Rhinolophus ferrumequinum: one gene and its partners. The protein of the gene in region 2 interacts with the protein of the main gene of each other region in a biochemical or structural test. Links are inferred from orthologs where the notes say so. Each region holds a gene or a part of one and is shown on either strand. Other genes may lie near its edges.

Region 1 (7,354 bases), on a different chromosome or scaffold from region 2:
TAAAGAACAAAAGGGAAACTTCAGGACAAACTGATCTTGGAGAATAGTAACACAAGGCTGGAAGTTAAGGCTTGAGATTAAGTGATGGGAGCCTTGGGTACAAAACTGACTAGTGTGCCCCAACCCTCCCCCCCACAAAAAAAAAGGAGTAGCATGAATGAAGTGCTGCTTTAGAAAAATAAATCAGAAGCCATGTGGAGGATGAACTAAAGCAAACATGAATCATTAGGAGGTTCTGTAGGACAGCAAAAGGCGAATAGAAGGAGGCAAGGCCCTGGGGACCAGGTTCTAGTGCCCTGCCCTACTCCACACAGAGCCCTTCTGCTGCTCAAATTTTTGAAAATTGGACTACAGTGCCCAGATGGAAGGCACTGCTATAAATCAAGCGTGAAGGTCATAAAACCCAGCAATATGGAGGGTAGAAGTACTGAAAATCAAAAGGGGGAGAAATGAATCCATATACTTTTTGATGAATAATTTGATAGGATCTAGTGACAACTAGAAGGGATAATGAAAGAGTGGATCTACATGAAAAATCAAAACTACTAACTGAGCAGCAGCCGCTACTCGGACAGACTTGAACATCAGCAACATAAATGTGACCATGTAAAAATGGCTGAGCCTTAAGGAAGTGCTACTCAACACAGAAAGAAAGAAAAGCAAAGGACCATTCTTACAGGGATTAAGTTAACAAGCAAAGGGGACCAGAAAATTGTAGAAAGAGTTGACCACCACATCATGGAATGCTTAGAAAGCAAGCAAGGGTTTCAAAAAGAGGCATCACTGTACACAATGAGAGGGTGCACAGCCTTTGCAGCCAGTCTGGAGATTCTGGCACCTCCTCCACCTGACCAAGTTATTTAACCTCTCTGAGCTTCATTTAATAAGGAAAACATAAACTAACAACATTATAGAGCACATGATAGAGCACTGTGCTAAGTGCTTCTCACATGACCTCATTTACTCCTCACAACACATTCTTACTGATGAAGAGATTAAATTTAGAAGTAGCATAGTAAACTGCTAACCAGGATTCCTATTTCTTAAGACAATAAAATAAAGGAATGTATATATAAAGCTCCTGGCAAACAGTATGATCTCAGAAATGGTAGCTATATTTCATTATTAGAAGGTAATGATTAATAGGGACAATACAAAAACTCACTATCGGTTCTCTCTCTCATAGCCTTCCATGCGGCAAACTCTCTTAGTGTCCTCATCTACAAAATAGGATTAAACGCCTGTAACCTAACATACTCAACAGGGTTGCTATAAGGATTAAATGATATTATGAAAATGAAAATATTATGAAAAAAAATTTAAGAGATATTCAAATATATGGAATTGTCATTTATCTTTTGCTCTGCAAAAATGCCTTCCTGGATTAACATGTGTCTCTTAAAAGAGCTAAAACTAAGTCTGCTAAATGTGTAACCAGTACTTTAAAAAATGTAAGTTACCATGAAATGGTGAAGTATGCCACCCACCCTTCGCCCTGACCCCTCCAGGTTCTCTAATGTACTTGCAAAGGCAGAGGTTCTCTTACATCTATAATGAAACTGTGATAACAGAGTAGAGCTAATCAGAATAGAGGTCTACTTCAATTTAGAGTTGTTCAAGTTGGCCTTAGGGTGTTAGCTTAGAGGTTCCCCTTACAGTACTTCCAAAACAAAAAAGGAAAAAAAAGTTTCCTGTTTTTTTCACTAGTATTAAAACTGAGTGCCCAATCAATACTAGAATTCTGGTACTTTACAAAATGCCAGAGAAGAATCTATCAAGGGCTGTCTGATAGCAGGTCTCTTGGAAACCTCTCTCTCTCTCTCTCTCTCTCTCTCTCTCTCTCTCTCTCTCTCTCTCTCTCTCTCTCTCTCTCACACACACACACACACACACACACCGCCTCCCTTTTCACCTGAACAGATGGTTTCCAGGCCTCAAGGCTCACATATCTAGTCACCCGATTCACAATGGCTCACAAAGTTCCTACCTTTTTAATTATTTCATGTTCTTGAATATACCACTTTCCATCTAAAGATCTCTACGTATCAAAAATCACAAAACTCATCTTCACAACAGCACTATCTGGGAGAGAGATTAATACCCTTATTTTATAAACTAAAACTGAAAAACTGAAGTTAAATGTTTTTTTAATCCAGCATCACTTAGTTGATTGATTCATTTGGGGGTTGGGGGGAAAGCACATTACAAACTTAAGTAAATGAATAGCCTTGATTTAGCTTTCTAAGATCACTTCAAATATTAGCTCAAACTATCTACTGTGTACTCTTACACTTCCAATACATCAAAGATTAAATATAACAGTAAATACCAAAACATCACTATTTTTATATGCTAAAAGAAAAAACAAAAACAAAAGTATATGGGGGAGGGGTTCTAGTTTAAGATTCCTGTCTTGCATCCATAAATACTTCTGAACTTGAGGGGGCTGAGGAACACCTGTCAGTGCGGCATATCCACAAGTTTTACAGGCTGTGTAGCTATGAATATATAATTCCTTAAACTGTAAATAAACCCGCCTTCTCAAAAAAGTAAAAAGGTAATATTATTTTTTAAATTTGACAAGAAAGTCGACATGGTTTTAAGAAGCCCATTAATTTCCTAGTTTTACGTCTCCTTGGCTTCGTGAACTTGCCACGGGGGAAAACTCTGCCCGTCCCGGGAGTCTGGCCGCGGGGAGCCCGGCAATGCCCGACTTTCCACGCGCGCCAGGCCGGGCGCGGGGCAGGCGACGGTCCGTCTCCCCTCTCACCCCCTCGCCCCGCGCAGAGACGCGGCCGGGCACTGGGACCAGCCTCCCGACCCCCGGTAGGCCCGGCTCCGGGCCCGGCAATCCGGGAGGTTGTCACCGTCCGGCCCGGCCTAGCCGCCCCCGCCCTGCGACCGCCGCCTTCCTCCCTCTCCCCGCTCCCCGCGTTTGTTACCTCTTGGGCGCCGGCGGCTGCTCCATGGCGGCCGGGGGCAGAAGGGACCGGGGTGGGCGGCGAAAGCGGGAGGGAGGAAAGAAGCCGAGGCACTGGCCAGCGGAGCCCAGGAACCACACAGGGAAACTCCAGGAACTCGGAACAACTTTCCCGTAACTCCGCGGCGGATCCCCCTCCCGCTCCAGAGTGCGGCTCCTCCCGCACCGCCCCGCCCCTCAGCCGCAGGTCGCGGTCCAGGGAGGGTGGGCGGAGCCAGGCTCTGGGCAACGAGGGCGGATTCGGCGGCGGAGGGAAGAGCTGGCCTTCGTACAGGGAAGGGGAAAAAAATGAGGAGAAATTGAAAGAGCGAGAGAGCAAGGCCTAGTCAGGACCCAGAGCCTCTGTAAGCTGGCCAGGGGTGTATGCGTTTGAGCTGGCACTCCTCACTTGCCCTCATTGTTTTTGCCCCAATTCGATTTGATTCATTTTTCTAGATTTCTCAAGGATACATCTTCTGCAGCTGTTTGAAGTAGCACTAACTGCCCACGCACGCTTCCCTGTCTAGTTCTGTTTATAATTATTCATTATATTTTCCTCCAGCCATTTGACATTTGTAGCTACAGTTAAGGATACTTAGTACTATATCTGGAAATTCTTTTTGATTTTGTGGACAATCTCCTCACTACATTTCACAATAATTATGTCTAATTACAAAGAAAACAATTAGTGCAGTGAGCTCTCTCAGTGCACCAGATTCAATGCGGGCTGTTCAACTGGGTAACCTGGCAAACTGAACAAATTGTGATGCGTAGAAACGTACTCAAGGAAAGTTTGTTTCCTTCCCTCTTGTCACCCTTTCCTTCCGATTTCTTCCCAAAGCACTTATGCCATTGTAATTTGACCCCTTCCTGCATCCCTGTTGTGTGTATACCGGAACCTTAAATTCTGTCTATAAGTATCTTTGTTATGACCACATACAGCTACTATATAATGGCTTTGCTTTTGACAGAAGTTGTCAAGATGTAGTGTCATATAGAGCTTTTGAAGAATAGAACAAAGAATATGAAGAGACTGTTGAATAAAGAAACTTTATGAACATCAACTCAAACTTGTCTATTAATAGTTATTCCTCTTTTTGCATTATTTTGTTTCACAATGTAATAAACTAACATGATTTATTTTCAAACCATTACATTGCCCCCTAAATTTAGTTATTTTAAGTTTGTAAAGACCATTTATTATTGAAACCTAAGCCAAATTCTGTAAACAAGAGAGATTATTGCAGAATTTTATATTATTTTGTTTATTGAAGATCCACAGTCTAACAGTTCAGAAGTAACAGGACCAAAAACTAAGGTATTAAAATGTTAAAGCTAGGAAGAACCTTTGAAATTTCATTATTCTATCTCTCACTCTCATCCTCACTTCTATGCTCTATTCCCATCTTCTTATATTTTGTTAGAAAAATCTTTCAGAGAAGGTCATTTCACCCTTTTAAAAAAATTGTCACATTTTAAAATGGGCTCAAATTTTCATACTTTAAAATGGACTCTTAATTATGTTACCAACCTTAATCTCCAGGAAGCCTTTCCCAGCCAAGCTCACAACATCATCACCCCACTACTTCCGACACTTTGGTGAAAGAGATGCTTCTTATATGTGACTATAACACTGTGCTGGCTTTTTGTATAGTGCTTATTGCACTGTATTGAAGTTCTGTTTATTTGACTGACATCATAACCCAACTGTGAGTCTGCTGGGAAATGGACTATTTCTTTATTTTCTCTGTCCCTTGCATAGCAAGTGCCTTATACATAGTTAGGACACGGGGTTGGATAGCTTCCTTTTGTTCCCCCAAATTCACTCTCCATCCTTTTCCATCAGTTTTCTGTCCTGAAGGCTAACCTGTATGGCTCACATCACTGAGCTCCCGCCCCCTTGATTTATGGTTGTGTCTGATGATGTTACTGGCACAGGGCCCCTTGCCCCTCTCAGAATAGAAATCAAGAGAGTAAGCAAACAGTTTTGCAGAGAGACAAGTTTATCAAAGCAAAAGCTTGATGCACCAAAGGAGCACACTCCAAAAGAGAATGGATGTGGCTTCCCAAGGCTTACAGGAGCTGCAGTTTTATAGGCTCTTGGGTTCAGGGCCACCTCTTCCTCTTTCCCTTCTTCTTCCCCAAAATATACTGAGGCGTGTCCTACACCTCGCCTGTCCAGTGTACCTACTGCAAATTCAGGTGTTGCATGTCTCATTAGCATTTTAAATTCCACTTATGAGAGTGCTTTTTACTATGATGATAAGGAAAAGTTAACTATAGGACAGCTCTTTTAACTAATGCACACGCACAACCTTAGAAACTTTCCCTAGACCCGCTTCTCTCTCCTCAGATTATGGTTCTGTCTGCTCATTGTTTCTTATTGGCCAGGAATGCTGCTCAAGGTTGTTTTCTCCAGCTGCAGGTTCTGGCTACGTGAGTACCCCACTTGACCACTGACCACAGTGAGGGCCACAGGACTATAAGATCAGGCTATTTATTCCCCTGGTATCCTTCCTGTGAGGTAACCTAGGGTGAAACTCTGCTTGCTTCTTCTTGTCTCTTTGGGCTTATAGATGGTGACTATTCTACTATTCCCTGGATTCCTCTTCTATTCCTTATGTTCCCCTATACCTCAAACCTCCTCAAATGACCCTACCTTCAAAAGGGTTTCCTATGGGAACGCTGACTGAGACACCCATAAAGAAGGTTTGTGGAAGGAGGAGGAATAATATCAGAAAAATCTCTAAGGTCTCCCCTCAATTTGAAAGGGAGAGAACTAACAATTATTGTATGACTTTAATAAGATCAGACACTTGGCCTGCATTATCTCATTAAACCCTTAAAACTGCCTCATTAGGTAGTTGTTTTTACTTTACAGGTGAAAAAACTGAGGTTCAAAAGGGTGAAGAGAGTTACTCTAGGCCAAACAGAAAATCTGCACTGTACCCCAGGCCTTTACAACTGCAATACCAAGCCTTATCCCACTGTAAGTCAGTCAGTAAATATTTACTGAATACTTACGCATGCCGTTCTAGGTACTGGGGATTCATCAGAAAAGAAAATAGACAAAAATTCATGCCCTCATGAGGTTTATATTCTGGGTGGGGAAACATAATAAGGTAAATAAGAAACTAATCAATAATATTAGGTACTAAAAACTGGTGAGGAAGAAAAATAAAATATGGAAAGGAAATATAAAGTGGAGGGGAAGGGATGAAATTTAGATAGGGTGGCTAAGGAAGGCCTTAATGAGAGGGCAACTAAAGAAATTCAGGGGAGAGCCATACAGATTGCTTTAAGAAGAGACTGTGAGGCCAAAGGAAGTACTAAGGCCCCAAGGCCAGTGTGCCTGGCATGTCATGCGTTACTGAATAAAAGGAATTGTTTTTTTCCTGAGTTACTCAGAAAAAAAAAAAGGGCTCAAGTCCCTGTTTTAATTTGCCTATAGAAAGCAGCCTGAAGATTCCAAGAAACAAAGCATAGACATCCTCATTCAACCTACGAATAAGAGGCAGCAAGCCTTCATGAACACATGAAAGCTATAGGAAAATTTGAGATTCAGATAAGGGTCACTCAGCTTCACTTAACTGTGAAAGTAGGGTAATCTGTTTCTGCTTCCAACTGTTCCAATTAGAATCAAGATTAAGTACACGCTTTAATTATACTAGAAAACAGCTCACCAGAATTCTCAACTGAGTGCTCCAAGAGAAATTTGAGAAAAATCTGCAATTTGGGACCCAGTTCCTTTTGAATAACAAAAATGCATTCGTTGTCACAGAATACATACATCACCATGTTTTATGAGGAGAAATATATTAAGATAAAATAAGTTTTTCCTTGTTATACTAGTTGCTGCTGTTTATTAAAACTACATGTTTCTGGGTGGCTGGGTGGCTCAGGTCGTTGTAGCGCTGTGCTCCTAACACCGAGGTGGCCGGTTTGATTCCCACATGGGCCAGTAAGCTCCACCCTCTACAGCTAGATTGTGAACAATGGCTCCACCTGGAGCTGGACTGCCATGGGCAGCTGTGAGTGGCCATGAGCTGCTGTGAGCAGCCAGTCGGCAGCCAGCCGGCAGCCAGCGACCGGCTGGCTCAGCCAGGTAGAACACAATGCTCATAACACCAACATGGGCCAGTGAACTGCGTCCTCCCCAATTAGACTGAGAACAATGGCCCCAATCGAAGTTGGGAGGGGAGGGGGGGAAGGGGAAAAAAAGCAAAACTACTTTTTTTCTTATTTTTAAATTTGAACAATAATACTAATTAACAACTGTCAATCTTTTCTACTATTACCAGGAAGCGTTTGGGACAAAGAGAAAACTCTGGTCTAATATATTACACTATGTGACTTTATTTCCAGAGAAATTCAGAACTATTCCTTTCAACGGTG
Region 2 (7,708 bases):
CCACCTCTTACCCAAAATATCATTATTTACAAAACTCCCAGGGGCACCGCGTTTTCCCAGAGAACACAGGGCATGCGCACTAAAGGGGACAGGGCGCCGGCCTACCTGTCCCGTGGGCGCGGCTCCTGCGGGGCGGCCCTGCTCCCGTGGGTCCACCGCGCACAGGAGGAAGCCGCTCGGTTGGTCCCGCAGCTGGAGAGGATGGCAGGGCCCGCCCCGCCGGCTGCGCCATCCCTGGCGCCTCGGGGCCCCTCAGCCGAACATCTCCTGGGAGGCGTAGGTCATGTACACGAAGCCGTCCTCGTCCCGGTAGTCCCTGTAGATCTCGGCCATGGTCATGCTCATGCTGACCGTACTCTTGCTGTTCACTAGCAAGTAAAAGGCTTCAGTGGCCCCGAGGACCATGTGGCTCCTGGCATGGGGAGAGGGGCAGGAAGGGAGAAAGCTAACCTGGTGGGAAAGGGCATGGAGCCAAAGCCTTACCTCCGGTGGCCACTGTAAACACGTCCATCCAAGATGCCCACCTCCCCACTCTGGTGTGTCTCCTCAAAATTGAGAATCACCCAGGAGAGGCCTGTTGAACATGCACATTCCTGGGCTGCAGCCCACAGCATTTGGTTTAGTAGATCTCAGAAGCAGCCTAGGTAGGAATCTGCAGGAGTGTGATGCTCAAGACAGCTGAATTGCTCCCTACTTCTTCCGCAAAAAAGGGCAGGCGTTCCCATCATGGACTAGGAGACACACCAACACAAAAATGCTAATGTGGAAGCCCCTCTTTGCTCTGAAATTAAAGGTAAGTATTTCCCCAGAAGTACAAAGGGGATCCCAATTTCCTTCAGCATCTCATATTACACAGCCTTGGGGGACCTTTAGAAGCAATCTACTGCCTCTCACTGTGCTCTTCCTTCCCCCTGCCCTTCTTCCCCTAACATCAAGGAGATAGCAAAGCAGTCAAATTTGACTGGACACGCTTTACAAGTCAAGGTCAATCTAAGTCCTGATTCACCCTGGAGTAGAGGACAGCATGACAACGTTACACTCAGGTAAAGGCTCAGCCTGGCCTGAAGCGCATATCCATTTGCTCTGCTTGGGGGGGCAGGCACAGCCTGCCCACTTCAGCCTCAGAGGTCAGGTGAGCTAGATCCATGCAGCCGTGGGAGACGGGGGTGGCTGGAGCCTGAGTAATTATACAACCAGCGAATCCCTTCCAGAATAACCCCAAAGATTTTAGCTCACAATTGCATGAGTGGTCTTTGGATAAAAAAGAACTGTTCTGCAACGGGAAGGGGTAGAGCTGGGAGGGAGTGTGTTGCCATTAGCTCTGAAGGAAGCTCTGTTTCCGGAGTCTGTACCTCCATTTCCTGTCTCTGCCATGCTCCCTTGTTATGAGGGTTGTGGCTTACCCCCTGGGGGAGAAGGCCGAGGGCAGGAATTTGTTCTATTCTGTCCACTGCTGTGAACACAGAGCCCAGAGAACACTCAGGACATAGTTGGTGCTCAATAAACACTGTGAACATCAAACGTGCGGATTGGGGTGTGGGCGAGGGGTGGTGGAGAAGACAGGAAGGCCCCTGACTAGGAAGGGGGGAAAGAATGCCTCTCAGAACTCAAAGGCTTGTTGGAGGAGGGAGGTCATCTACTGTTGCATCAAGTTGTTGGGATCTAATTCTTATTCTCGTTCTCCCTCAGTTGCCTGCAGTCACTAAGCCTCCCTGAGGAGAGGAATCAGAATAATCTTACTTATTGAAACAAATAGAACAGAGATTAACATATTTATAATGAATTCTTGAAGAAATAAGCTGCAACAGTTATCGGGTTTCCAAGGGCTGGCCCTTCCAGACTTCACCCTGTGAAGGATTACCTACCAGGTCATGTCCACATTACTCCCCAGTCATTTGTATTGAATCCATGGGTCAGGTGACACCACTTCACTGTCTTCAGCTTTAAAAGTAGTTACTACCTCTTTGCTGTGCCCTAACCCAAGGGAGGAATGTGTTCTGGGGACACCTTTGTGTCCCGCTTCTCAGACTCTGAGCAGTGTGGGGAACATTTGCCTTTTGTAGAGGTCTCCACTCCCCAGGCTCGCACACTCCAACAAGGTGCCGTGTCTCTACTGGGAAAACACTGGCCAGGTTTTCCACACTATTAGGAAGAAAGGATCTTCTGGACTCGTTTTGGAACCAAGACTACTTTAGGAAATTCTTAGAAATGTTAGCAGCTCTGACTGTCTTTAGATTTGTTATCTCAGAGGTTCTCCCACCTGTTTAAAATAGATGAATTCTCAGAGCATCTTTTCTGGGCACTGCAGAACCTACAAGGTGGTGAGTCACAAAGAAAATCCTTTCCCTCTCTTCTTCTGGGACGCCACCCCACCCCCCTATCCTCAATACCAAACAAACTATCAAAGCAAACAGAAGAAGCCCAGGACCATGCACACGTCCCCACGAGCACCGTGTCACCTACCGTATGATGCTGAGGAACTGGGCCACGGTCAGCTCCTGGGGGACCAGGAACTTAGTCTTGTCCAGCGGGGGCAGGAACTTCTCCCTGGAATAGCGCTCCACTACCACCTGTCGGGAGTTTCCGCCCTTAAGAATGTGACTCAGAACTCTCAGTATCTTAGAGTCTTACAACAGGGAGACAGAGAGAGTGGGTTTTTTGTTCCTGTTGTTGTTATTATTATTATTTTTTTTCCCAAGCAACAGAATAGTGTACCCCTTTTCCAAAAGTACAATGGAGTCTTACCGGGATCTTGTTTGGGAACTTTGCCCGGATTCCAGCCACTTCCTCTTGTCTGGTTGCTGTGAATATTTCAAGTACAAAAGAGTAAGGAAACGGCGAGAGCAGTCTGTATCCTTTTCCTTCTCTGTCTGGCAACCCAGACAGCTACCCGAGAACTTTACCTAAGCTCTTCCTCTGCTTGAATGGTCTGAGGCTTGGGCTTTTCTGCGGAGTCTGCATTTTGCTCAACAGCCCTGTCTGTGTCTGGCTTAAAAAAAAAAAAAAAAAAAATCCACAGCCAGGACCTAACTCATTCCTCCAGCTGCTTCCAACCCGCCTGCAGGAGGCTAAAGGAGGCCCTTATGTAGGGCTGTGTGACATCAGCCCTTTCCCTCTTCTTTACCCTCCCCCTCTCCCCCTCGCTGGGCAGGAGGAGGTCAGTTCTGAGGATTGAAACGGGACAGCCACCTGCTTATTGGTCAGAGAAAGTCACTTTGCTCAGGATCAGTTCAAGATAATTTTTTTTGCTGGAGAAATTAGGGTTCATAATAAAATCAGTGACTATGTAATCAAACAGCATAGTTTGAGGCTGAGAACTCTGGAGAGGTGGAACTGCCATTTGCAGAGGACCTTTTCGTACTTCAGTAATGAACCATCTTGAAGGAAGGCCAAGATGGATCCACCTGATGCTGAAATAGGCTATGTAAGTCTCACAACAGTCCTTGCCATTTTTCTCAGCGAGAAAACTATGATCAGAAATGTTAAGGAATTTGCCCAAGGTCACACAGCTAGTAAGAGAGGCAGCTGGGATTAAAACCCAGATTTGGTACCAAGTAGTGCTACACTCCAGTATATTCTGTTATCTTATCTTCTCTGCAATAATGGAGGAAAGGAAGCACAGTTATTACCCCCAAGGTCTCCCTTTAAGAGACAAGGAACAGAAGCCAATAGAAGTTAACTGATTTGCCTGGGCCAAATGGCTGGGAAGACACAGTTCTCGCAGGACCCAGAGTCCAGGGCTTGTCTCTGATACATATGCCATTTAGCTGGACCTTTAGACTCAGAATGAACAGAAGGAGTATGTGTCCTTCCTTCATTGATTTCCCAGCAAGGTCATTCAACAGAGTGAGGAGGCTTCAAATGAACAGAGTGCCGTAAAGGAAGATGATGGTAGGTCGTCCACATTTGCTGGGTGAATCAAAGGGAGCAGCTCTCAGAGCTTTAAGTTAGTGATCAGGAATGGACATCAAGTGATTAAGTGATGACATCACTGAAGAGAGGCGTGGCCTCACCCTCTCCCATTCTCTGTCTCTCTGTCTCTCTATCCTTGTCTCTCGATAACAAAGAGCAGGTATATAGTGCAGTTCTGGAATCTCGTGGCTTTCAAATCCATGATCTCATTGAAACGATTGCCTTGTGGGGGTGGGAAGGGCAGGTAGGATGAGCGTTTTGCAGATCCATGTCTACCCAGAATACACTGAGGTGGGGCCAACCCAGACCGTCCACTTCCCAGGGGTGGCTCCACATCCTGGACCAGGAAAAACTGGTTCCAGGCCTGGCCCTCCCTACTATCACCTCCATTTCTGATCTTGGATAAATTATTTCACTTTACTAAGTATGTTTTCCCTTTTTGCAAAATGATTATTTTTACCTCATTAAAGTGGTTAGTTTTACCTAATTCAGAGTATGTGTATGAGACTTACATGAACTGATTATGTAAAGCAGCTAGTACAGTGCCTGGCACTAAATCTGATGCTCAGTGTGTATGTCTCTCTCCCCACCAGGCCTCTTCAAAGCCCCCACAATCCCAGGAAAGTTCACATGACATCAGGTTTGAAGGCTGAAGGCAATAGCACTGGGTTGGGGACCAGGGAAAAATAACCCCCAGCTGCACTGTTTGGCCAATCGTTATTGGGAGGAAACATTGAGACGTTTCCTACCTGCCCGGCATTTCGCTTTCTCCTCTGGCACGTAGGATTATCATCTCGGCCAAGTCTACTTCTCCGGATGTAATGGGGGTGACAGAATAAAGGACTTGGGAAAATATTAAAATGTGGCAATACTCAGAATGTATCATCATTCAGCAGAGGAATGGCTATATTGTTTCTCTTTTGTTGCAAAGTTTCCTTTTTGAGAAGAGCAGAGTGTCCATGGGTACTGTGGGCCCCATCACGGTCCTTGGAACCTAGTTGGCAGAAGGTAACCAAAGACACATAATGTCGCGCCACACAGGTTGTGTAGGGAAGGAGATAGGAATAGCACTGTGGAAAATGGCTGGTGCCAGAGTGCCTAGGCTTGGTCCAGGAGCCCATCTACTGATATTTTAATAAACAAAACCGACACTGCCCATGATGTACAGTGGGAAATATTGCACTTCTTTGTCCTGCACACAAAGCACATGAAACACGAGCTGGCTGAGGCCATGTTGATTCCCTCTACCCTACACTTTCACCCACTCTCATCCCTCTGTCTGACCCATGTACTGGGAAGGGGGCTGGTGACAGGACACATGGAATCCTGGTACAAAAGAGAGTGAGCTAGTAAAATAAGAGGTGGCAGAGAGTGGGACACTTGCTGTTGGGTTAGGGAAGATTTATTCCCCTCCTCCCATAAACACACCTATGCCCCACCCTCCTTTTAAAAGAACAACCAGTCAACTTTCTCTTGCCTCTTCCAGACATGTGACTGTCATGGAAAGCAAAACTTTGACAACGCACCTGGGCTCTACATCTTGCTTACTTAACTTCTTTGAGCCTCACGGTCCTCCTTAGCAGAATGGACATGCTTTCTCATCTCAGAGAGTCGTGTGGAGATGAAAGGTGGGAATCTGCGTGATGTACACAGAGATATGGGTGACAGTAGGAGCTCATAATATGACGTCTCTCATACTGCTCGTGGCCTGTGGAGCTGGGAGCCCAGCCCCCGCTACTCACACTTCCTGAACCTTTTGCAAGAGTTGGCCGAGCTCAGTCTTTCCACTTAGCTCACTGCCTCTCCGCTCCGTAAACCCCTGCAGTCTGGAGTCTGTCCCGACACTAATGCATGCTCTCAGGAGGTCAGCAATAATACACACCAGCACCTCTTTGTAGCCCTTACCTTATTTGATCTTTCGTCCTTCAGCATGTGGCCGTGTGCATTTTCTCCTTCCAACAACTCTCGTCTTTCAGATTCCAGGATTCCATTTTCTTGGGGTTCTTCTCCCCCCACCGTCTCCTCCCTTCTCCAGCTGCCTCTCCCTCATTTGCAGAGCCAGTTCTCCTCAGAACCCCTAAGGAGATAAACAGAATATCCATTTATCCATAATAAATTCTCATTTCTTATGTGAATAGAAACTGTTCTATGTTTCTGGCCCTGTAGCGATCGGTCACCGCATCCATCGCAGGCAGTTGTGTGTAACAGCTGCATCGTCGCTGTGCCCATGGAGCTTTAGCATGAGCCCCCGACGATTGCCATCCTTCCCTTCTCATTGCTGCCCAGGCCCTTGCTATGTGCAAAGTTTAGAGTCACCAGTGCCACTTCTCCTGTCCCTTGATCTTGGCCTTTCCCTGGGCCCACCCAGTCCTCTTCTTGCTCTATATGCTTTCCGGGGATGATTTGAACCATTGCTGAGGAGTTTCCCAAGGTGACTCAGTTTCTCCTATGTGAGTTAAAATAGGCCTGTCCCTTGGCACCTGTGGGTGTGTGGGGCTCGGGGTGACTAGGACAGATCCATCTTGGTTCCTGTCCTGTCCTATTGTGGCTGCTGTCATTCATCCCTCTTGGCTACAAGCTCTGATTCTAGTGGGAAACTGGGTGGACAGTTATGACACCATGGAAGTGAAATGTGCACGTCTAAAGTGAGAGGCCGCTGCAAGCTGGCGGGCTGAGAAGAAGGAAGTCTTCATCACTGTGTCCACGTCAGGGAGGAGAGAGGTTCTGGAGGCTGCCGCAGAATGTCGCATGACTCCTTCAGTACATTGCCTGGACTTGGCGGCTTCACAGGGTCCATGGCGGGGGGATAGGAGATGTATGAGAGTGGCTCCTGCTGTCGCCTGGAGGCCCAGACATCCCGTCCTGATACGACTCACTCAGGATGAGAAGGGAACATCCAGGAGGAATCTCAAGGCAGAAAGCTGAAATTCAAAGTTATGTCATTCCGTTTTATTTTTTGCTTTTTATCATCAAGTGCCCTTTAAAAGGCTGCCTACCAGTAAGACTTGTTTATCTGATCAACATAAATGATTCTGGTTCCCTGTCTCAAATTAGCCACCGAATTATGAAGCCACTTGAACTCACTGTTTGCTTACTGACCCTGTGAAATGGTTTTAATGCCGCCTGTTCTCTTGTCCAAGAACCAAAGAAACCCACAGCAGCTATTCAGTGACTGAGAGGGAGACCCTGCTTGTCTGCACCCTCAGTAGCACAGAGCCTGGCATTTAGCTCATGTGCTATAAATGTTAGATGGATTTACCTGCATGCAAATTGCTACCACAGAAAAGTGCCCTGTCACACAGCGGTGCTGCCTGAAGCCCTGCATGCAGGAAAGGCTAGCTCACATCCAGACGATGTGTCATTACAATCAGGATGAATCGCAGCCTCTTTCAGCAGTGAAATGAGGCTGATGTCCATTGCCACCGTGTGTTGGGCTCCTTGAGAACTGTGTTTAGAGGGGTTAAAACCCAAAAAACATAATCGAGCATTGCATTCCTTTCTTCATAGGGGAGGTGGGATATGCAATAATTTGCTTTTGACTTTTGAGGGGATATCCGGGCATGCCCAAACCACTGAATCCCCAAAAGCTTCACTGATTGGGTAGAGCTTCCGAGTCACTGAAAGATTTATGTCTCCCCTCTGGAATGCATGTGTCTTACAAAGGCTGCCAATGTACACGTTACTTCTTGCTCATCCGATGGGACGCACATCGTATCATTGATATAGGGGACCGAAGCCATATTACTTGGGATGTCTAGACGATCTATTTCTCTTTGGACCATAATATGACAGAGGG
Region 3 (7,746 bases), on a different chromosome or scaffold from region 2:
ATCTGGGCATTGGGTAACAATGATTATATTTATTGGATTTCAAAAGAGAGAAAACAAATTAGCAATTATTTCATATTTTATTTACCTTAAGCTACCTCTCCAGAAGTTTAAAAAAAAATCTTTAGTATAGATATTGAGTGTTACGTTGAGTGACTAAACACAGACAAACAGATAAGTTTTTCCTCCAATAATGTCATCTAGAATTGGTTTAGTCAGAAAAAAAATTTAATTTCCTGGTATTTAAAATGTTTTAATATCCTGGCAAGACCTTCCAAATTCAGAAATTTTAAAAACTCTATTTAAGGTCAAAACACTTAACATACTTTGGAAAGGCCACATTACATAAAGAACTGTTTTAGTTAAGATTTATTAGAGTTAAATTACTAATATAATAAATCAAAATTATCAAATAACAAATGAATAAGGTAACTAAAAAATTATGGGAAATACCTAACAATTGAAACCAAATTCAAAAATATAAAATTTAGATTTCAATATTGTTGAAAGAGTAAGTTACATTTCAGAAGGCAGTCTTACCTGGTAGCTAAAGAAAAATACCGTGGAAACAAAATTCCTGTGGTTAAGGCATATACAAATGAAAATGTCATTTATTTTTCCTCTGCTTTAAACATGCAGCATAATAGTTTTTAACAATGATCTAATAAATACATGTATTTTAGAAAAACAGTTTTCTCTATGCTCATTTCTAACAAGATTTTCACATTTTTACATACACTTTCTATTGCTTAATATTTTAAATAAGCATTCTATATTTTACTTTACTTCACAATGATTACGGAGAGGAGACTAATAAATGAGCATTTTTGTAAGTAGGAATAAAATATGGAGTTACACATTAAAATATTATGCCTCTTGAGGGGAGGGAAAAATACATCAAGGTAAAGTGTTATAAAATAAATTATTATTTAAAGCTTGTTTTTATGTTACAGAAATGTTTTATGGCTTAAATCACTTCAGAAAGTTTTTTTTTAATGAATATTTTCTACATTAGTAAAATAACAAATAGAGTGAAAAACTATTGGGGGTTCATCAGATTTACAAATATAAAGTTCATGACTACAAAATACTTGCTTGGTAAGTAAGGACCAGGAAAGTATATAAAACTGCTAAATTATAACCAAATATTTCATAAAGCTATTCTAATATAAATTAACATTTACCAAGACCAAAGGAAACTTACCTTACAAGAATGCTTCAAAGAATTAGATAGTTCATTTGTGAAATCTCTGTTGCTGTCTCTTGATAAATTATCAACTTTACCTTCATTTCCAGATGCAAACTTTATTAGTAATTGAGATGGTCCCCCTTTGGAACAATTGTGCTTAAGGCTGGATAAACAGGAAACATTTGGGTAAGTCCCTCCCAGTGAAATACTTCTTTGTAAAATAGCACGGTTTTTGTTTATCTGTAAATTTGGTCTTTCCAACTGTCCATTAATATTTATTTGATAATCCACGTTTTGGGAGTATGGTAAACACGCAGATGTCCTATGCATCAGCTTAATATACTCTGAATCAGAATTAAGCTTCCTTTCTGACATCTCTGGTCTACAATCACTATTTGCTGCTTCACAATCTACTGTAGTTGCTTTTTGTTGGGTGAAATGTACTGAAACACAAGAATATCCATCAGGTGACTTTTCAAAGACAGTCTGACTTGGACTATTATTCGCAATAACAATTTTCTTTTGTGATAAGCCCTTCCCCTGAAGTGGTCGTATGTCTCTTACTTCTCCAGCAGCACAGATTGTTTTAGATAACCGAAGTCCATTGACAGCTGTTGAAAGAAATCCCTTAGCACTAGTACCATCTTCATTGTGGGCAATTTCACTAGGAGAAATAATAAATTGGTGTGACGTCTGATAGGATCCTTTGCTTGGAAGAATACCTGTATTTGTCGGAGAAGTTGGTGGGGTATTTGCAGGACTCCTGGGAAAAATGACTAAGGATGAGCAACGTTTTAGTGGAATTTTCGAGTTCCTGCTCACTGGCAATTTCATAATCTCTAGTCCATGCTCCAAGTCATCCTGGACAAAAGGAATTGTACTTGTACATCTTGAAAAAATTTCACATGGAGTAGTATTCCTGTTTGGCACATTTCTATAGGAGGTGCTGTCAGAAGATAAATTTCCGGCCAGAAAAGTATCATCAGTTGATGGAAAAGTATAACCGCTGCTGTCACTGATGATACTGTTGGTGTAGGAACCTCCACTTGTGATACTTGTGCATGACCCATAATCACTACCGTTGCTGTTGTAAGACCCGTTCTCACTGGTTGAAAAGTTACTAAAGCTACCACTGCAAATGGCAGAACTGCTTAAAAGGTTTCCATCATTCACAGCATTTAGTTCATTATCAACCACAGCACTGCTGTAAATGCCATCCTTCAAGACACAGGTAAATGAAGCATCGTCAGCATCAGCTAAGACACTGCTAGACTGAAGATATCCACTGTACCTTGTTGGCTGTAGTGAAATCTGTAGACAGCTGCTCTTTTTATTAACATTCTCAGGTGGAGGAACAGATGAGCTCTCCTGAGACGTAACGTTTTCCTTTATTAACGGAGCTAGTGCAGTCTGTCTGGGAGTCAGCTTCATTTGAACAACGTTAGACGTTGAAATCCGTGTTGGTCTTTTGAAGCACATGGGAACATTGCTATCCGAGTCATCTCCGGAGGTTTCTGACAAAGGATAAGTATTGCTTCTTCTGGCTGCAAAGTGCAATCGTAAGCTTTGTGCCATTTGTTCTCATTTCCAAACATGTTAAGGGCTGAAAGTCATAACAAAGATCTCTGTCGGTAGACAGGCTAGAAGCAGCTGCACTGCGTCGAAAGAAAAAATCATTTGTGGTGCCTAAAAGAGCTCTTAAGTAGTAGTCTTTATCCAAAGGAAAACACTAGATACCAGATATCTCAGAAAGAAAAAGACGACCCATTCCTGAGACTGACGTTTCCAAAATGTCTTGAATTGCTTGTAGTCAAAATGCCTTCACTTACAAAGCACTTGATTTCCAGCGACCTTTAAAGCTGAGCTCAGCTGCAGCTCACTGCCTCAAACACTGCCAACCTTGTTTCAATTATACCTTCTCCAATTTGCATGAATGAGTAACACAAGAACAACAATCTTCTAGCATTTCAAGTTAAAACAGTATTTTTTTCACTCCAGCTCTACTAAATGAACATTTAACTGTGTGAATCACTGTGCCTATACTTTTTCCAGCAGAGTTTGACCACTAATATTTTTACCCATAGGGATAAAATTACAGGAAGTTGGTAGGAATGAAACCCCATGTAATTGAGTATCAAATCGAGGATTGAATTTCCAAATAGTGGCCACACTAGGAATCTAGTCAAGTTAGTTAATGTAGAAAGGAATATAGACTGTTAAAATTTTTACAGATAACTTCAAACAGTTATGCAATTTGGACACACCAAAAGTGTGGGGTAAATTAAAAATTTAGCATTCGATCAAATAGATAAGTATTTTAAATTCCAAAACACTTCTTATACAAAATGAAAGCATAAGGAAAGAAATACAAAATGAGCCTATTAATACTATTGCAAAAATTGAGTATATGTCTGAGAAAAAATAAAGTTTAAGAGAAGCTGTCACCAAGCATTTTCTCCTATAATTTTAAAGGCTTTTACAGCCAAGTAGTACAGTCTTTAAATGATGCCATTTATATTTTGACTATTAAAACTCTGCCAAGAAATAGCCTAAGCAAACATTCCATTAAAAATATATGCAGATTAGACAGAAAAACTATACCCCAATATAGTTTGAGCACACAAGATATTTTATTCCACTGTCTCTGCAATTCATTCACTTAAGAGAGTGTTGTGGTAAGTAAAGAAGTCTAAAAAGGATTTAACACATCAAATAAACATATCTCAATGCCAATTCTGTTCTGAAAAACTCCAAGAGCTCTTTGCTGGCCCCTACTGGTGCACTGAAACAATCCATTTAGCTGTTTCATATCTATAAAGAAATACAAACCATGCTGCATATTTCTTTATATAAACAAAGTACGTACTTGTTTACATTTTTGAGTACTAGCACTGCCCTAGAGGTGGAATTACTTACTACTGCTGATAAAGCTCCTCCAGTAGAGAACAGTACACTGTTTGTCCTTTTAGGGGTTGTGATTTTGTATATATATTTTTTCTGCTTTGTATTTATTTAACCTTTACTTTATTTTCAGTTTACTAGGTAATAAAAGTTTAATATTTTAATTTCTGCCCCAAATGTCATAGACCAAGGTTGGTACTCTATTTGAAAGAAATAAATTTATTTTTAAATAATACTCTAGGGTATATTTAAACCCCTTACCTGAATTTTATAGCTGGAACTCCAGTAATAAATATATACTGGCTCATTCATAGGAAAGTAAAAAGTAAAATAGTTCAGTTGTTTACACCACATGGTACTACACCCAAGTTGTATTTTTTTAAGTAAGGTGTTTTTTTTTTTTTCTCTAAGTAAAAGCAAATATGTAAAATACATACTTGCACTTTGTTTAAAAAAGAAAACCCCATAAGACAGATCTGTTCTCAATCACAATTTTCTAAACGGTATTTTAAATCTATTAAGACAAGAAAAAATAGAAATATGGTATCAATTAAATTATATTTCTGACTAGAATGATATTTCTGACTCGAATGAGACAGTACTATGTTTTAGAATGTGTGCAATAATTGTAAACTTAGTAATAAAATTATTATGCTATTTTGATTTTGTATACTCTCCTTAATGATTTTACAGATGTCAGTAAACAGTCCCGTATCATGCCTTTTCTTTATAGAAGAAACAGTCCTAATCTTTTCACTTTGCCTTCAAATGACTTCTGCTTTCTGTCTTAAATTAAGTTAGGGGTCTGATAATTTAAAGAATGGATCACTACTAACAGGCTAATCAATGAGATCTAACTGCTCGTGCCTGCGGCCTAAAACTTTCAGTTAATAAGCAAAGCTCCTCTAGTTCTTAATATAAAATAATGAACCTCAAGAATTTGGCCAGATATTTGGCATCAGTTTCATGTTAGTTAAAACTCTAACTAGATTTTAAGCTTCCAGTGTGTGAGGGTCATAACTAAACATTTCTTCTGATGCCCCGAGCTCCTGTTGGGAACACGTAAGCACTAAGTAACACCAGAGAGGAGACTGAATGGATAGATGAATAGCCACTCTGCCTGCCTCATGATTTCTTTCAGGGTTTTAAAAAGAAATTGATCCAGTTACTACTTCTAAACAAATGTCAAAAAGCACTGCAGCTGGACAAGAAGGACTGATGCTTGAAAATTTTGCAAAGAGGAAAAGTAAGGTAAGAGAATCATCTGCCCTTCCTAGCTCGCTCTCCAGTCTGCGTTTAATTCTCGAGAGGCTGAACAGTTTGCACTGCTGACTCTGGTCTGGGACCACACGGGCTCTGTACTGCTGTCACAGCAGTCATGTGCAGAGCCTGGGGAACCTGGGGCAAATGTAGCCCCTTAGCCAAACAGATGCCAAAAGAGGAGCCTTAACCCAAGGGGAGCAGAGGTAGAGTGGGGGCAACCCTCATCGGGGAGGAATCTATGCCAGTCCTATAGATTTCCATATTCTGAAGTGACACAGGTAACATCTTAGGATTAGACTGAAGCTCAGGACCCCACATTCTGACATGTTTGGTGATTGATTATCTACACAGAAAATAATGTGATTATTGACATGCTATGGCTAGGCTCTGGATAACCCAAATCATTGACTAGAACTTTGAAGTCTAAAGTCCAGGGTGATGATAATATGTATGTATCACTTGGCGGGGTTGTTTTGCCCAGTTGTTTGGTCAAACACCAGTCTAGGTGCTGCTGTGAAGCTAGTTTTGAGATGTGATCGACATTTCAATCACTAGATTGTGAATAAAGTCAATTACCTTCCATAAGACGGTAGGTGTCATCCAATCAGTTAAAGGCCTTAAAAGCAAAGACAGGTTTCCCACACAAGAAGCAATTCTGCCTCAAGACTACAACATAGAAACCCTACCTGAGTTTCCCGCTTGGTGGCCTTCCCTGCAGATTTCAGCCTCAAGACTGTAACATCAACTCTTCCCTGAGTCTTCAACAAGCAATCCCTGCCCCCTGGGGAATCTGCAATATACTGATCAATGCATTCTTTTGTGCTTGCTTTTAGCTTTAAAGGTTGTTTTGTTTGTTTGTTTTTAATGTTTATACATCATGTTTATAACCCTAGAAATATCCCATTGTTAATATCAGAGGCAATGCTTTTTCCTTTTGACATATCATGACACCATGTATAGTACGCTACATGTGCTCAAGGAGTGTTACTGCACCCGAGTATGAGAAATATCCATTTTGGCAACGAAGAAAGAGTTACACCATGCTGAAGTTATAGGCAAAAACGACTAGACAACTATGGTGAAAAGTGCAAACATGAGCTATCCCTCCTTGTGGACAACATTACATATAACTCACATAAAATAGTTCACCAATGAAGCACCCAAGAATCAGGGAGAAATTCACATTGGTGTCAGTAACAACAGGAAAAATAACACCGTAACACCATGACCCAGCAATTCAACCCCAAATTACGAATCTTAACAGATACACATGTGCATCAGGAAACATGGCAAGAATGTTTACCAACTGGTAACAGCAAAAACCTGGAAACAACACTGGTATCTATTAAGGAGGATAAATACACAAATTAGGATTTTATGGCATTTGCAGATGATGGAAAATTATGCATCAGTGAAAATGTGTTATCATGGATCAAAAAGCATGTCACAGAGGAATTCATTCAGAGTGATACTATTTTGATAAATTGAAAAACATGCAAAAGGAAACTCTGGTTTTTTTAGGGATACATATATACATGATAAAAATATTTTTAAAAAGCAAAGAAATGATAAACAATTTTCAGGATGGTGGCTGCTACTTGTGAGTGGAAGAAAAGGAAATGCTGTTGGGAAGGCTGAAGGGGGTTTTGAAGAGTTTGGTAATGTTATAGTCCTTAAGTTGAGTAATAAAGTACACAGATATTTATCTTATTATTTAAAATAAAGATTCATATTATATCTACTTTTTGTATATATATTTCATTGTTGAAAAAACACCAACACTAAATTTTAACTGGTCCCATCTAGAAGTAAAACAGCTCTGTAAAGACAGAGGGGGGAAAAATTCTTATTCTATAGTAAAAGCAAAAGCAAAAATACAAACAGAAAAAAAAAATCAAATCATCATTTGTCACTCAGCTTTAAAAAGTTAGATTGCCAGTTAATGAGGAAGTCTCCTTTGGCAGCAGAAAAGCATCTTTGCTAATTAATAGATTTTGTTTGTAATACCTTCAGTTCCTAGTATAGCTGTCATTTCTTGAGGGTGAAAAGAAAACATGTTATGAGGTCTAACGCTAAAAACAGATTTTAAAAATAAAAAATCCAGTGTCTTTGTTAGCTATAAAAATGAATAAAACTGTTCAACTTTTTTGGTACTTCTGTTTAATCACTGATAAACTTTGAACACATAACACTGTTCTTGTACCTTCATGTTCAAATCTTAACAGGTTTAAAATATAATTGTAAGATGCTAAGGAGGTTTGAAATAGGATCCCAAAGAGACAAAATTAGGAAAAGGATAGGATTTGAAGATAGTCTTAAGGAAATCAGAAATCAAAACTACCGGTATCATTAAAAAAAAATAAAATCAGGTTTAACTTTGCTTTTTGCCTATATAG
Region 4 (7,945 bases), on a different chromosome or scaffold from region 2:
GGACCAGAGACCTGCATGCCACCCCGCATGACACTGTCTCTCTAATTTTGGGAACAGCTGTTTGCCGTTACCTCCCCTTTCTTATGGATCCAAGAAGAGTTGTTGCTTTTCAGTCTATTCAGTTTTGTACTTGTTGTTAAGACAGAGACTGGTGATTTCTAAGCTCCTTATGTGCAAAACCAGCAAGACTTGGGGCCGGTTGAATCCCTGAGAGTTTGGCTAGTTTGAATTTCAGAGCATTGTTGGCCTGTTTTATTTTTCCAGAGGATTAAGGGTGGTAAAGATAGTAACATTTTAGACTATGAAGTGAATTCCTCTATCACAAGTGAGGAACAAAGGGATCCCCACATGAGGAAAATTCTGGTAGCAACTTATCTACAGTTGAGGCAGTAGCCTGTTTGCAGAGAAAAGCTTCTAACCATCCTGGAAACAAGAATGTGCGTATCCTTTTTGTGTGTGTGTGTATAAAAGGGGGAGAGGGAAGTGAGTACTTGGAGAGTCCACAAGCAGGAGAAGAGGACACAGAGGTTTTCAGATTGAAATGCAGACATGGAGGGCGAGTCCCAATTAGGGTGATCTGCGTGGTTTCTTAGTCCTGGCCTATAAGGCAGAGCAATAGTGAAAAAGCTAGGGATCCAGTTCCAAGAAGAGCCAAATAATCCCAGAAACCATCAGAATTGTCTTTCAGTCTCAGGAAATGGATAATTGGTGACGGTGTTAATACATTTAGGGGACAAAGTCTTCTCTTCAATAGTGATAGCATGTCCTAGATAATTCTCTTGAGGGGGCCAAATAATTGCATTTTGTTTTTAGAAACTGTATGTCCATTGTGCACAGAAGCTTGGAGCAAATGAGTTGTCATAATCAGGTGAGCAGAGAAGGTCACCTGCATATTAGATAAGGAAAGAGTTGCAGGGAAAGGTTAAATTGCTCAGGTTTGCATTTAGGTAACCTGAGGTAACTATTTAACGAGGTAACCTGAGTTTAACTATTTTATTGCTTGCAAACGTTGGACTAGCCAATATTCCTTGCCATTTGGATTCTTTACTGTGGGGGGAGAGGCCAGAGTATTACAGGATGTGTCAATCAGGCCTTGAATCATAGGTTGAAAAGTTTGGAGGGCTTCTAATTTTAAATATGTTATGGAAATCTTGGGAGTGCCATGGAAGGGTCTAGTTCTACTTCGAGAGTTTTGGCCTCCCAGGTTTGGCTTATGTCAGTGGAATGAGCAGCCCAGAGGGAGTCAGGTGTTTTAGTTAACATAGTTTGTACTTTAGTGTTCGGGGTGCTTTCCAGGCGCAAGAAAAGTCTGTTGGTTAATGAGAATCATGAAAGGGCAAACACACATAGGTGTGGAAGCAGGGGCTTCCAGGGTGAGGCACTTGGGAGAGCAAAAAATATTGATATCCTACTGGAGAGTAAATCTCTGCCCAGAAAGACGACTTGGACGGAGGAGCTAAGCAGAAAGCTATGCTGTGTAATGAGAAGTATCAGTGAGGCAAAGAGAGAGTTAGAGAAAGGCAAGTCGTGTGGTAGATTAAGTCCCACGGCAGGTATCGTATGTGTACTCCAAGGGAAGGAAATAAAAGGTATTTGTATTAGTTTTCAAGGGCCGACATGGTACTTTGTTCCATACTGCAGATGTGGTGGCTTCAACAAAAGAAACTTATAATCCCACACTTGTGGAGGCAAGAAGTCCAAGATCAAGATGTTAGCTCCTTCCAAAGACTCTGAGGGAAAGCTCTGTTCTAGGTCTTTCTCCTTGGCTTGCAGATGTCCATCTTCTCTCTCTGTCTCTCCACATCATCTCCCTTTTATGCATGTCCTAATTTCCCCCATTTGTAAGGACACTAGTCATATTGGATTAGGGCCCACCCTCATGAACTCACTGTAAACTTGGTTGCCTCTGTAAAAACCCTGTCTTCAAATAAGGTCACACTTTTAATTACTAGGGTTTTGGACTTCAATATATGAATTCTGGAGGAATAATTGTGTTAATGGTGAAATTGTTGCCCTTGTGTCCACCAGGATGGTGGCGGGATATCCATTGATGGCAATGATTATTACCCCTTGCACATTAAGAGTTAGTTTTTCACCAAAAAAGGAGAGTGTCTCCGAGGAAAGTCCTAAATGATGGTTTTTTAGTCTTTTTTTTTTTAGATTTTTTTTTAACTTAAAAAACAAAATTTATTTAAGTGTGTTTTTTCAGGACCCATCAGGTCCAGGCCAAGTAGTTGTGATCGAACCTTGTTGTTAAGAGCACTGCACTCTAACCAACTGAGCTAACAGCCTGCCCTGGTTTTTAGTCTCTTGTTCACTTTTGCATTTTGAGACCAGTTAATACCAAGGCTTACGTGCCTTTTCAGTATCTGTAATAATCTCAGTTTTGGAGGGAGCAGATTATCCCGGCATGTTTCCTTCAAATTAAGTTGTAGTCTTCAGTTTGCATTGTTTTGATTTGGCCTTTTCTGCAACAGAGTCCTTGTGATGTTCACCTAATGTACGTATTTCAGAGAGAGAGAGAAAGATCACCTCACTAATTTCTAATATGTTTTGAATAATATCTGTAATTTCTGGTCATAGCCTTAATGAAGCTAGCGACCAAGGTGGAAAGGTTTCAGTCATTTAGAGTGACACCAGAGTAGTCCTTCCGAACATTTTCTAAACTATGTCCATAGTTAAAGACAGATTGATCTCTTTGTATTTTGTAATCTCCTATCTTTGACCAATCAGTTTTTGAAGGAAGACAGTGGGAATGAATTCTAAAAGTGGTTTTAGCCTGTATGTAAGCCTTGGGGGTGTTCTGATTTATTTCATTGATTGTTTGCTTGAACAGTGGCCCATTTGGCTTTTCAAACAATAAAGTGGCATCTCTGGGACCCACTAGTGGTAGCACAAGTTGTTATAAATCATGGGTCCCAAGAGACTATGTCCTGAGGATCGGTATGAATTGATAACTAGATTCTTCCCTATTTTTATGGTGGTCCAGAAAAACTTTAAATAATAACATGTAATAAAAACTTTAATAATAACATGTAAATCTGAGCCAGATTAAGGATTAAAGAATATTTGCTTAGGGGTCCTGCCTGAGACTATGGACTCATGATAAAAGAGACAGTCGTTAAGAGACTGTACAGTTTGAAATAGACTGGAGACATTTTATTTTTCAGCCTCCTCATACCAACCAAAATAAGCTGACCATTGGTGAGCCAAGATCTTAGCATCCCAAGATTTGAGGGCACCTTGTAGATAGACAGGCTTAGGGAAATTCCAAGTGAACCAAAGGGGGCTATTGGAGTTGTAAGTTGTCTTTAGTAAAATCCTGCCATTTTTGGAGGTAACGATCTGAATTTTCACCTTAGTGGTGAAGCATATAATTGGTGGGAATTTTGAACAGCATTGAATAGTGGATTGAGAGTTTCCCATAATACTAAGGTTAAACAACAGCTAGCAACAAAACCAAACCTAGAGATGGCTGGAGGCAGTTCCTTACAAAACAAAACATAGTCTTATCTAGCATCCAGCAATCACACTCCTTGATATTTACCGAAATGAGTTAAAAACTTATGTCCATGAAGAAAACCAACACATTTTATAGCAGGTTTATTCACTATTTCAGAAATTCAAAGGAAATAAAAATATTATTCAGTAGCTGAATGGATAAGTAAACTGGTATATCCATACAATGGAATAATAATAAATATAATAATAATAAAAGAAATGGCTATCAAGCCATGAAAAGACATAGAGAACTGAAATGAATATTGCTAAGTGAAAGAAGATATCTTAAAAGGGTACACATTGTATGATTCCAACTATATGACATTCTGGAAAAGGTAAAACTATATAGTCAGTAAGAAGAGCACTGGTTCCCAGTGAGTGGGGAGGAGGAAACATAAAACAGATTGAACACAGAGGATTTTCAGGGCAGTGAAACTATCCCGTATGATACTGTAATGGTAGATACATGATATTATATGTATTTTTTTCAGAACCCATAGAACTGTAGAACACAAAGAGTGAATGAACCCTAATATAAATATTTTAACATATATCACTATGAGTTTATCACTTGTAATAACTACGTATACTAACGCAAGCTGTTCACAGGAGAAAATATGAGGGGGTGGACTATATGGGAGTTCCTTGTAACTTTCTGCTAAATTTTCCAGTAAACCTAAAACTATTCTTAACAATAAAATCTATTATTTTAAGAAAATCAAAACTTAAAGGCATCTCTGCAGAAACCTGCAGGGTTTAAATTTTTTTCCTACAGGCTCATGATTTTAAATGAGTGGGTACTTCATTTTTCATAAATGCTAGAAGAAAAGCTAAAACTTAGTGAACCTTTAGATTATAGATACTGAGTAAGTACTTTATTGTTTTACTAATAAATGCGTATGTATTCAGAAAATAATATATATCCTATGCAATTTATCTCATTTAATTGTCACATAACGCTATGAAATACTATTGTTATTCACATTTTTTAAAAACACAGGAGACAGTTCTAGTATTTATCAATTGTTTACCAAAAACAATTGATAAATACTAGAACGGGCATCTAATCTGGATTCCTAACCGAAAATTCTACCGTAACACCAAATTGGAGATAATTAGCGATTTCTAATTCGGTCAGCTGAAACAACGGCCGAGAAATCTCGCGATACTATTGAAACTACTACTCCCACCATGCAAAGCGGCTTGTGCCTATCTGCCTATGTCCGTGGATCGGGCGGCCCGGCATGCCTCGAGGCGCGAAAGGCTACCTGGGCACCGTAGTTCTCCTGGACACATAGCGGTATCGCCAGCGCTGGTGGCCGCAGCGCTCTCGGTTCTCCCGGGTCCAGAGAGGGTGAACCGAGACAGAGAAAGGGCGCGGAACGGGAAGAAGGTGAGTCTGCACGGTGTATGCGATAAAGGGAGGTGGCACCGCGGCACAAGGTTGAATTAGGTAAATGGACTCGTGCTGCTATCTCTCCGGAGATACCGTTATCTTTGGGCTGGCGAGAGTCCGGTGAGGAGCCATAGCCTGGTCCTTACACCAGTTCTCACCTCAGCACCGCGGCCATCTCCACCATGCAGTCTCGGGAAGACGCTCCGCGCTCTCGCCGCCTCTCCAGTCCCCGTGGTGGGAGGCGGCCCAAAAGGATTCACAAGCCCACGGTTTCAGCTTTTTTCGCGGGCCCTGAGGAGCTGAAGGACACGGCCCATTCTGCAGCCCTGCTGGCACAGCTCAAGTCCTTCTACGACGCGCGGCTGCTGTGTGATGTGACCATCGAGGTGGTGACGCCTGGCAGTGGGCCTGGCACGGGCCGCCTCTTCCCCTGCAACCGTAACGTGCTGGCTGCCGCGTGTCCCTACTTCAAGAGCATGTTCACCGGCGGCATGTACGAGAGCCAGCAGGCAAACGTGACCATGCACGATGTGGATGCCGAGTCCTTCGAGGTGTTGGTCGAATACTGCTACACGGGTCGCGTGTCGCTAAGCGAGTCCAACGTGCAGCGCCTTTATGCAGCCTCGGACATGTTACAGCTCGAGTACGTGCGGGAAGCCTGTGCCTCCTTCCTAGCCCGCCGCCTTGACCTGGCCAACTGCACCGCCATTCTCAAGTTCGCCGACGCCTTCGACCATCACAGGCTGCGCTCACAGGCCCAGTCCTTCATCGCCCACAACTTCAAGCAGCTCAGCCGGATGGGTTCGATTCGGGAGGAGACCCTGGCAGATCTGACTTTGGCCCAGCTGCTGGCCGTGCTGCGCCTGGATAGTTTAAACATCGAGAGTGAGCAAACGGTGTGTCACGTGGCGGTGCAGTGGTTGGAAGCGGCTCCCAAGGAGCGGGGTCCCAGCGCTGCGGAAGTCTTCAAGTGTGTCCGCTGGACACACTTCACTGATGAAGATCAGGATTACCTGGAAGCGCTGCTAACCAAGCCCATTGTGAAGAAGTACTGTCTGGACCTTATTGAAGGGGCCCTGCAGATGCGATATGGTGACATACTGTACAAGTCTCTGGTGCCAAAGCCAGAGTGCAGCAGCAGCTCTGTTGTTTCTGCAGCAGAAAATCCACCCCAGAGGCTGGGTGTGTGTGCCAAGGAGATGGTGATATTCTTTGGACATCCCAGAGATCCCTTTCTCTGCTGTGACCCCTACTCCGGCAATATTTACAAAGTGCCGTCACCTTTGACCTGCCTTGCTCACACTAGGACTGTTACCACCTTAGCTGTCTGCGTCTCTCCAGACCATGACATCTATCTAGCTGCCCAGCCCAGGAAAGACCTCTGGGTGTATAAACCAGCCCAGAACAGTTGGCAGCAACTTGCAGATCGCTTGCTCTGCCGTGAGGGCATGGATGTGGCATACCTTAATGGGTACATTTACATCTTGGGTGGGCGAGACCCTATTACTGGAGTTAAATTGAAGGAAGTGGAATGCTACAGTGTTCAGAGAAACCAGTGGGCACTGGTGGCTCCACTACCCCATTCTTTTATCTCCTTTGACTTAATGGTAATTCAGAACTATCTTTATGCTCTCAACAGCAAGCGCATGTTCTGCTATGACCCTAGCCACAACATGTGGCTGAAGTGTGTTTCTCTTAAGCGCCATGACTTTCAGGAAGCCTGTGTCTTCAATGACGAGATCTACTGTATCTGTGACATCCCGGTCATGAAGGTCTACAATCCAGTCCGAGCAGAATGGAGGCAGATTAATAATATCCCTTTGGTGTCAGAGACCAGCAACTATCGGATCATCACTCATGACGAAAAATTGTTGCTGATCACCTCTCGCACCCCACAGTGGAAAAAAAACCGGGTGACTGTGTATGAATATGACATTAGTGGGGACCAGTGGATTAATATAGGTACCACATTAGGCCTCTTCCAATTTGATTCTAACTTTTTTTGCCTCTCAGCTCGTGTTTATCCTTCCTGCCTTGAACCTGGTCAGAGTTTCCTCACTGAGGAAGAAGAGATACCGAGTGAATCTAGTACTGAATGGGATTTGGGTGGATTCAGTGAGCTGGATTCTGAGTCAGGAAGTTCAAGTTCTTTATCTGATGATGATTTGTGGGTACAAGTAGCACCTCAGTGAAATACACAGGATCAGCAGGGTTTGTTGTACATAGGTTGAAACATTAAGGTGGTTTCACTGCTTTGGAAAGTATCTTAAAGAAATACCTGTTCCCTTTACTGTAGGAAAAGACAGTTGGTTGATTTCAGGTTTGGTTTAGAAAGGGTTTTGTTTGAACTAATGTAATTTAATGTTAGAGAATTTGAGCACTCCAAAAACAACCTATTTAATAATTTACTGTTCTAAAAGTCTAGTATTGATTTGTTCAGTATGTTTGTTAGATTATGCTGATTTAGTTTTCTACTGTTAAATCTTACATTCTGTTTAGTGCCACAAATACAGTAACTTGAATTTTAATTTTCATAATAGAAAACTTATTGGATAGGAATTACTAGATAGGGTTTTGAAAGTATATTTTTCTTCAGAACAGTGTAGTAGATTTCCAAAACTTTAGTGGGTTTTAACAAAGTGTGTTCTAACTTAAATACAGTTTGCTAAGTTTTAGTTTAGTTTTCTCCCTTTTTGAGAAGGAAAAAAAATGCATATATGTTTAATGTGACTGAATGTTGATTTCATTTGAAATACTGTTCAGAATGGTCGTAAACTCACTGGTAATAATAATAATAATAATAATAATAATAAACAGGAGTCTACTGTTTGAAAGGAAATTTCAGTTTTAAATTTGTAATATAAAATGTGTATTTGCAGATAGTGACCAATTTTCCATCTGGAAAATATTCCATTCTAGCAGTGCCACCAATCATCTACAAAGGTTAAAAAACCAATTCAGTGACGTCCTTTGTAGCTTCATATTTTTTATCTATACTTGGTACATGCTTCCTTGAATCAGAGGAATGATCCTTTTTTTCACTGGACA

The links. The genes of interacting proteins can lie anywhere in the genome.
Region 1: the proteins of MAP1LC3C (region 2) and STK3 form a complex in vitro, tested with the Homo sapiens proteins (2 studies listed by BioGRID and IntAct). The link is inferred for Rhinolophus ferrumequinum from reciprocal best matches to the Homo sapiens genes MAP1LC3C and STK3.
Region 3: the proteins of MAP1LC3C (region 2) and NEDD4 form a complex in vitro, tested with the Homo sapiens proteins (2 studies listed by BioGRID and IntAct). The link is inferred for Rhinolophus ferrumequinum from reciprocal best matches to the Homo sapiens genes MAP1LC3C and NEDD4.
Region 4: the proteins of MAP1LC3C (region 2) and kelch repeat and BTB domain-containing protein 6 form a complex in vitro, tested with the Homo sapiens proteins (2 studies listed by BioGRID and IntAct, with this or other methods). The link is inferred for Rhinolophus ferrumequinum from reciprocal best matches to the Homo sapiens genes MAP1LC3C and KBTBD6.

What each region holds. Positions count from the first base shown.
Region 1 is NC_046297.1:40,660,087-40,667,440, forward strand, and holds the start of STK3 (serine/threonine-protein kinase 3), read right to left. Parts: upstream 3,135-7,354; 5' UTR 2,969-3,134; coding exon 2,943-2,968; intron 1-2,942. UniProt on the Homo sapiens protein: Stress-activated, pro-apoptotic kinase which, following caspase-cleavage, enters the nucleus and induces chromatin condensation followed by internucleosomal DNA fragmentation.
Region 2 is NC_046310.1:18,307,122-18,314,829, reverse strand, and holds the start of MAP1LC3C (microtubule-associated proteins 1A/1B light chain 3C), read right to left. Parts: upstream 3,036-7,708; 5' UTR 2,962-3,035; coding exon 2,904-2,961; intron 2,802-2,903; coding exon 2,746-2,801; intron 2,571-2,745; coding exon 2,464-2,570; intron 413-2,463; coding exon 253-412; 3' UTR 1-252.
Region 3 is NC_046289.1:53,009,765-53,017,510, reverse strand, and holds the start of NEDD4 (E3 ubiquitin-protein ligase NEDD4), read right to left. Parts: upstream 3,135-7,746; 5' UTR 2,762-3,134; coding exon 1,202-2,761; intron 1-1,201. UniProt on the Homo sapiens protein: E3 ubiquitin-protein ligase which accepts ubiquitin from an E2 ubiquitin-conjugating enzyme in the form of a thioester and then directly transfers the ubiquitin to targeted substrates. Specifically ubiquitinates 'Lys-63' in target proteins.
Region 4 is NC_046287.1:8,914,998-8,922,942, forward strand, and holds the start of kelch repeat and BTB domain-containing protein 6, read left to right. Parts: upstream 1-4,811; 5' UTR 4,812-5,079; coding exon 5,080-7,089; 3' UTR 7,090-7,945. UniProt on the Homo sapiens protein: As part of the CUL3(KBTBD6/7) E3 ubiquitin ligase complex functions as a substrate adapter for the RAC1 guanine exchange factor (GEF) TIAM1, mediating its 'Lys-48' ubiquitination and proteasomal degradation.